Sus scrofa: one gene and its partner. The protein of the gene in region 1 binds, or shares a complex with, the protein of each later gene. Links are inferred from orthologs where the notes say so. Each region holds a gene or a part of one and is shown in the gene's direction. Other genes may lie near its edges.

Evidence for each region.
Region 2: INTS4 (region 1) and INTS12 share a complex: the UniProt entries of both Homo sapiens proteins name them as parts of the integrator complex. The link is inferred for Sus scrofa from reciprocal best matches to the Homo sapiens genes INTS4 and INTS12.

Annotation. Positions count from the first base shown.
Region 1 is NC_010451.4:12,320,460-12,324,272, reverse strand, and holds part of INTS4 (integrator complex subunit 4), read left to right. Parts: intron 1-1,211; coding exon 1,212-1,371; intron 1,372-1,595; coding exon 1,596-1,739; intron 1,740-3,813. UniProt on the Homo sapiens protein: Component of the integrator complex, a multiprotein complex that terminates RNA polymerase II (Pol II) transcription in the promoter-proximal region of genes.
Region 2 is NC_010450.4:116,030,212-116,034,748, forward strand, and holds the start of INTS12 (integrator complex subunit 12), read left to right. Parts: upstream 1-1,652; 5' UTR 1,653-1,791; intron 1,792-4,537. Other genes in the region: GSTCD (glutathione S-transferase C-terminal domain-containing protein), read right to left, coding at 1,419-1,620. UniProt on the Homo sapiens protein: Component of the integrator complex, a multiprotein complex that terminates RNA polymerase II (Pol II) transcription in the promoter-proximal region of genes.

The DNA of each region.
Region 1 (3,813 bases):
CAGCAACACCAGATTGGAGCTACGTCTCTGACCTACACCGCACTTCATGGAATGCTGGATCTTAACCCACTGAGCGAGGCCAGGGATCCAGCCTGAGTCTTCATGGATACTAGTCAGATTCATTTCCACTGCACCACAACGTGAACTCCAAGACAGCTGTGTTCTTCTCTTTTGCTCACTGTTATGTCCCCAGTGCTTTGTAAGTCCTAAAGATACATTTGTTAAATTAATGAATCTGTAACATGATAATAATAATTCTGCTAATACACAGGATTGCTGGGGGGATTAAATAAGATAGTGAAGAACACTTAAGAAGATGCCTAGCCCATATAGATATTTAATAAACAAGACTATCTTGGGATAGACCATGATGGAAGATGATATAAGAAAGGGAATGTGGAGTTCCCGTCGTGGCGCAGTGGTTAACAGATCCGACTAGGAACCATGAGGTTGCGGGTTCGGTCCCTGCCCTTGCTCAGTGGGTTAACGATCCGGCGTTGCCGTGAGCTGTGGTGTAGGTTGCAAACGCGGCTCGGATCCCGCGTTGCTATGGCTCTGGCGTAGGCTGGCAGCTACAGCTCTGATTAGACCCCTAGCCGGGGAACCTCCCATATGCCACGGGAGTGGCCCAAGAAATGGCAAAAAAAAAAAAAAAAAAAAGAAAGGGAATGTGTGTACATATATATATGTATGACTGGGTCACTTTGTTGTATAGCAGAAATTTGCACAACATTGTAAATCAACTATACTTTAATAAAAATAAATAAATTAGGGAGTTCCCATTGTGGCTCAGCAGTAATGAACCTGACCAGTATCCATGAGGTTGTGGGATCGATCCCTGGCCCTGATCAGTGGGTTAAGGATCCAGCATTCCTGTGAACTGTGGTGTGGGTCGCAGACGCAGCTCAGATCTGGTGTTGCTGCGGCTGTGGCGTAGGCTGGCAGCTGCAGCTTCGATTCTACCCCTAGCCTGGGAACTTGCATATGCCACAGGTGTGGCTCTTAAAAATTAAAAAATAATAAACATTAATAGATAATTAATCAACAAGGTTATGGTCATGTCACTACAGCATAATTATCTAGGTCCATGGCTTCCTCAGGAGCCGTGAACTTCTCTAGTTCATCCTTTTCACCCCTTCAGGGCTTGGCAGATGTTTGGGGCTCAGCCTGTGGTGAATGACTGTCATAGTTGCTTCTCTTTGCTCCTTCAGGTGTTTCATCGCTGATCTGCCCCACTTGCAGGACAGCTTTGTGGACAAACTTCTTGACCTCATGCCCCGACTCATGACGTCCAAACCTGCAGAAGTGGTCAAAATTCTGCATACCATGCTTCGGCAGTGTACCTTCCTGCACCTCCCCCTTCCAGAGCAGGTCGGTGTCTGTGTCCTCCCGCTTCAGCTAAGTCCGTCCGTCCGAAGAGTCAAAACTGCTCACTTTGGTGATCCTCTTTGACCCATGGAGCGGCTGGATTAGGGCCTTTCCTTGGATTGGCTCCCGAATATCCACCCATTAGCTAAGGAGTCAGAAAGGCAGGGTCTTGTTTTGTTGCCGAGGAATGGCGTGGCTTTAGAATCCTATTTTCTTCTTGCTTGCAGATCCACAAAGCCTCAGCCACCATTATCGAGCCAGCGGGTGAGTCAGACAACCCTTTGCGATTCACATCTGGGTTGGTGGTGGCCCTGGATGTCGACGCAACCCTGGAGCACGTGCAAGATCCTCAGAGCACTGTGAAGGTCCAGGTCTGTCAGGTTTTGGTCCCCATGGGGCTTCTTAACTGACTCTGTGTTGACACTTTTAACTTGAGCACCCACGTAATCTCTACCTGAGAGACGGAAAGTGGGGAGAGAGAAGAGATGGGTTTTTAAGGAAAAGAGCCTGGGCGTGAATCGCAGCTCTGCTGCTGAGTATGGATTGGAACAGGTTAAATTCAGAACCTCAGAGTCTGTTCCTGACAAATAGGGATAGTTGACATTGAAATGAGATTATGTATATAAAGTCCCTGGTACCCAATAAGGGCTCACTAAATGACAGGGCATCTTCTATTCTTATAATGTGAGCTAAGACTTGGTATTTTCAGGGCTACAACCAAACTAATACATGAGTCTCTTTCAGACTATGGGTGAGTCAGCTTGGTGAATAAAATTTATGGGTAGGAAAAAGCTGTCACTTTGGAGCATTCCCAAGTTAGATACAAATACTAGAGACACATGAGAGGCGCAATAAATAATCAAATTAATAGTCTTCAATCAGTTTAATAGTTAATTAAGTCCCATAAAGAGTCCTACCCATTTGCCCATCCATCTGTCCATCCATCCTTTCATCCATGTGGGAATGCTTACTCTGTTGCACATACTAAGTTCTACACAAGTATGTCAGAATCCCTGTCCTCAGATGCTTACTTTCAGTGAGAGACGGACAGATGGACTGGAAGTTGTAAAACAGTTCAGTCATCAGTTCAGACCGGCACAGGATGAGTTAAGAATATTATGGCTTCTGGGAGTTTCTGTTGTGGCTCAGTGGTTAACGAACCCGACTAGGATCCAAGAGGATGCAGGGTTGATCCCTGGCCTTGCTGTGAGCTGTGGTGTATATCACAGAAGCGGCTCAGATCTGGTGTTGTTGCGGCTGTGGTGTAGGCTGGCAGCTATAGCTCTGATTGGACCCCTAGCCTGGGAACCTCCATGGCCCTAAAAAGCAAAAAAAAAAAAAAAGAAATTATGGCTTCTTCTTATATACCTGATTACTTGCACAATATAGATCTAATTTTTGGGATCCCACCTGCCACACTGCCTCCCTCCTGAAATGAGACACAGTTGTTGAAATAACCTGACCTGTTTTCAAGACTGAGAGACTGGTTCAGTGAAATAATGGACCAGTCTACTGACTCAGCTTCTGGATTTTGAAGCTTCTTAGCCTCTTCTGGATTGTGAAGTTTCAAAGGCAGGAATGACGGGGAACAGAATACACCACTTCCAAAACAACTGTCCTTGACCTAAGGATTATTTGGGAATGGTTATTTCTGAGAGGGGTTGACATAGTAGAACCCCTGAGAACAGCATAGAAGTTGCCCTTTAGTGAGGGAAATTGATATTTGTAAGGGAAATCTACATTTGTAAGGTTTCTTCCTCTTAGAACCTGGAAGGGAAACGTGATTAAATCTCTAGGAACTCATATCAATGGAGAGGGTACCAACTTAAATTTGCATAACAACCTTACCCTTGTCCACTGCGTTTTACCTTATAACCCCTCATAACAGGTTCCCTCCCTCTTCAACATCTTCCTTTTGTCTTTAGCTGCAGCTGGTATTTAAGGTGATGGCTTGGGCAATTTCAGGGAGTTTTTCAGTTTCCCTGGGCCTCTGCCATTGTATACAGGAGACATATTTGTCATTAAACTTATGTTTGTTTTTCTCCTGTTAATCTGTCTTTCATTACGGTGGAGTCTTAGCCAAGAACCTAGCAGGTTAAAGGGGAGATTATTTTTTTCCTCCCCCACAGAGTTATTTCCAGTTTTTGGCTACTTTAAAAAAATTCTGAGAGTTCCTGTCGCGGCACAGCGGAAACGAATCCAACTAGGAACCATGAGGTTGAGCATTTGATCCCTGGCCTCGCTCAGTGGATTAAGAATCCAGCATTGCTGTGGACTGTGGTGTAGTCCGGCAGCTACAGCTCTGATTAGACCCCTAGCCTGGGAACCTCCATATGCTGCCGGGTGCGGCCCTCAAAAAAAGACAAAAGACAAAAGAAAAAAAAATTTCCGCAACATATAGATAGATAGATACACACACTCATGAATTAGCATATGTCCACACGT
Region 2 (4,537 bases), on another chromosome or scaffold:
TTGGAAGTTAGGCCTCTTAAAACAATGCCTTCAAACAATTTCAAATAATGAGTATGCTTAAGGCAATCATCTCAGTAGAGTATATTCTCCACCAGGTAGTTAAAAAAAGTCCCAGAGCTTAATGTTGGATTTATTAAATACAACAGCAAATCAATCAATTGAATTTATAGCAAAGAATTTATTTTCATAATATTTAAATGGCCATGGTTAATGTTTATATTGTCACACCACTAGTCTTGCCAGCTTTTGCATTTTTCTCCTTTAAACACTGTTCCTAGATAAGCTTAGAAAAATGTAAACATACTCTACCTTTCTTAAATAATTTAGCACAAGATCTATTATTAAATGTTGGCAAGAACTTATGACAAGGAATGGGCTCCCGGCATTAAGAGATCATGACCTTAAGAGTATCGGCGGAGTTCCCATTGCCGCGCAGTGTAAATGAATCTGACTAGTATCCATAGGATATGGATTCAATCAGTGGGTCGCAGATCCCACCTTGCCCTGAGTGGTGGTGTAGGTCACAGACTTTGCTCGGATCCTGAGTTGTTGTGGATTAGGCTGGTGGCTATAGCTCAGATTCCACCCCTAGCCTAGGAACTTCCATATGCCTAGACTGTGGCCCTAAAAAGCAAAAAAAAAAAAAAAAAAAAAAAAAAAAGGGGGGGAATAAGGGGAAAAGGAGTTCCCGATGTGGCTCAGCAGTAACGAATCCGACTAGTGTGCATGAGGACACTAGTCTGATCCCTGGCCTCAGTGGGTTAAGGATCCCATTGCTAGGGCTGTGGTGTAGGTCGGCAGCTGTAGCTTCCATTGGACCCCTAGTCTGGGAATTACCATATGCCAAGGGTGTGTCCCTAAAAAGCCGAAACAAACAAACAGTCACCTAATCCCAAACCAAGTAGAATTGGTGTGGGAAGTACGTGTATTAGTAAACGTTTCTGAAGTAAAAGCAATTTTCATGCAAGTTAAACCCAAACTTTCTATAGGAGTTTAAACCAAAGTGAAACGCTACTTTGATGGTAGTGCAGAAACAAATCGCCCAAAATGTAGGGGGTTCTTTGGAGCAACTGTTAGGTAGTATTCACATACTACTGCTTTCTCCAATGAGGAAGGGCTGGAATAGAAAACTCAGTAGAAAAAAAGATAAAAGTTAAAAGAGTGACCCAAGAGGTCTTAACTACACTTAGCAGCAAATGGCGAACGACCGAACAGACTGCTGCAACTGGAAGCTGCTCCTTTCCCCTTCAGTAAATGAAGCCATGGGGACTGGCCCTGGAAAAATTGCGAAGGGGCCCGGACCCCTCCACTCTTCCCGCCCTTCTTCGCATCGTCAACCCTGCCGGTCCCTGGATGAAAGAGGAGTCTTTGCAGGGTCTTGAGGACTGAGGAGCCGGCGGCGCGAGCGCCCTCCTTACCTGGTCGCAGAGGCGCGGCCAGGCAGGGAGGGTGCGTGAACGTGTCAACACTGGCCGCCAGCGCATTCCCGCCCCGCCCGAGCCGGGTTTCCCGAGGTCGCTTTAGGAAGTCTTCGCCTGCAGACCGCTCGCAGCTCCACGCGGCAGGGAAAAAAACAACAGAAGCAGCGCCGGGGAAACAGCAGCACCTGCCGTCATTCATAATCCGGCGCACCGGAAGAAGGTGGTTACGTCACTTCCTCCCGTCGCACAGTGAAAACGTTCCCCAGTCGACCCTGCTGCGGGAACTTTTGTTTTTCCGCTCTCCCGGCGGGCTAGTGCTGGGACCTGTTCGTCAGGCCACCGGGAACGGACGGAGCAGCGGGGCGGAGCGGTGAGTTGCGACGAGCCCCTCGGTTCCCAGCCGCCTCTGGGAGGCTTGAGACCTCCGCGAGGGGTGAAGTGGGACGGTAGTACTGTGCGGTCTTAGTTTCCTCGCCTCTTGTGAGGAAACTCATAATTTGCAGGCGGTCGAATGCCCAGTCTGACCATTCTCCCCTTACAGTTGGGGTCGTGCTTCCCCCGAAGGTTTTGCAGGCTGGGGTCAGCGGACCGAGGTTACAGCCCCAGGGATTGGGACCTTGGAACCCTGTCTCGGACCTTCCTCGGAAGGTTTTGGCGACTTCTCTGTGCAGCTCCCTCTGCCTCCTCTCATCTTCATTGGGCTCACTTGTCAAGACCCTTCCCGATGTTAGGCCTTCGGTGGGTCTTGCCTTTGATCAGAAGATTGATATTCCTTTTCTGAGTGTCGTTTTTCAGATTTTCTGTCGGTTGGTTGGTTTGGAATTAGGTTCTTTCCGCCTGTTGTCGTTTCCGGATGTGTGCCTAAGGTCATCAGTGTAATCCAGGGCCAAGATCCAGGAGGAATAAAAAGGGCAGTATCTTTAAAAGGGTATTTATTAGGATGAGTTGCATGAGTTTGCAAAGGGCAAAGCTTTCTAGAGCCGTTATTGAGGTGGCAACCCCAATATTGCACTCTGCCTGAATAGGTTCAGCTTCCTTCATCTCGTGCACGTGAAACTCCAACTTTGGACTTCTTTTAATGTTAGCTTGTAAGATAGATAATGGGATCTAGAGGAAAGCATATATTTATATATGAATACCCAATTTAGGTTGGAGAAATCACAGAAGCCCTAGAAAGTGACATTTAAAAAAACCCTAGTGCATTCACTCAACAAATATTTTTGAGAATATGTTAAATTCCAAGCACTAGGTATGTAACAGTTCTGAATAAAAGAATTCCCTTCTTGCATGGAGTTTACAGTCTAGTGGGGTTAATGAATTTAAATCACATGGAGGATTGGGTAGAGAGTAATGCAGATAGGAACATTGTACAAATCCCATGTCATGAAAAAGGTGTTTTCTGCTTTGTATTGTTTTTGCTTTTTTGATATTTGAGGGCTTGAGGTGGGATTGGGGGTGGGAGGAGTCTGGAGGGTGGTAATAGCTTTGAGTTTCTTTTTTGTTGCTTATTGCAGAGGGACTTTGGAAATGATTAGAATTGTGTAGAAGGAAAAAAACTATTATCCTTTGATCTCTAATAATTCTTTGGCCATTATTTTTTGGTACTTTACAAAATACAAACGTGATGGTAAAAAGATAGCCTTTCCCCTTAAAGTAGTCAGAGATTTATAGAGAATATAACAAATGTGCAAAAAAAAGAAAACAGAAAAAAAAAGACTGTGGTTCAAGGTAGAAAGTTCCAGTACCTTGAGAATGCACTCCAAGATTTCCCAGGGGAGGGCAAGATTATTATTATTATTATTTATTTATTTATTTATTTATTTATTTTTGTCTTTTGTCCTTTTAGGTCCGCACCAGCAGCTTATGGAGGTTCCCAGACTAGGGGTCCAGTCGGAGCTGTAGCTGCAGGCCTCCACCACAGCCACAGCAACGCCAGATCCAAGCTGCGTCTGCGACCTATACCACAGCTCACAGCAACGCATGATCCTTAACCCACTGAGCGAGGTCAGGGATTGAACCCGCAACCTCATGGTTCCAGTTCAAATTCGTTTCCACTGCGCCACGACGGGAATTCAGCAAGATTATTAGTATTATTGGGTGAGTAGGGTCCTCATCAGTACCCTCATGGGTCTTGATAGGATATGGAAATATGAAAATGGGTAAAAAAGCTCTCCAGACAGAAAAAAAATTGAGAAGTAGCAAGTCCAGCTAATGATTCTGGTCTATGGGAGATCTGGAGATGAAGAATTAGTTTTTGTGCCAGTTATTGAGTCTTTTTTTTGGGGGGGTGCACACCTGAGGCATATGGAGGATCCCAGGCTTGGGGTCGAATCGAAGTTACAGCTGCCACATTATGCCACAGCCATAGCCACACAGGATCCAAACTGAGTCTGCAACCTACACCACAGCTCACAGCAACACCGGATCCTTAACCTGCTGAGCGAGGCCAGGGATCAATCCTACAACCTCATGGTTACTAGTCAGATTAGTTTCCACTGAGCCAGAATGGGATCTCCTACTGAATCTTTTTAAATGCTAGGCCAAGAAGTTAGGCTTTATTTTAAAGGGAATGGGAAGTCTTAATTTTTGAGGAAGAAAGGAAGCAGGGAGGGAGGAAGAAGAAGGAAGGGAGGGAGGAAGGGAGATAGGGAGATGTGTTAACAGGAACATTAATATGGCAACAGTATTGAAGTCCAAGACAATCACTAGATTATTGCTACAGTGCAAAAAGCTGATAAAGACCTGAATCTGAGTAGTAGCAGTGGAAATGGAAAATAGCAACAAATGTGAGAAATGTTGAAATATAGGAATTGGGGAGGACTCAGGCAAAAATGTAGGCCTCAGGCCTGATTAACGGAGAGTATGTCATTTATTGAAAGAAAGTGCGGAACAAGGAACTTTGGGGTAGGAGATATTCATAATCTCAATTTCAGTCTTTATTGAATTTGAGAAACCATTGGGACAATTAGGTAGACATGTCTACTAAGCAATTAGAAATATGGGGTTTGAGCTTAAGAGAGATCTGAGTGGGAATAAACATATGAAATCATCTGCTCTACTGATGATAGTTGAAAACATAAATTAGCAAGGAAGAAACTGAAGAACTAAAGAAAACA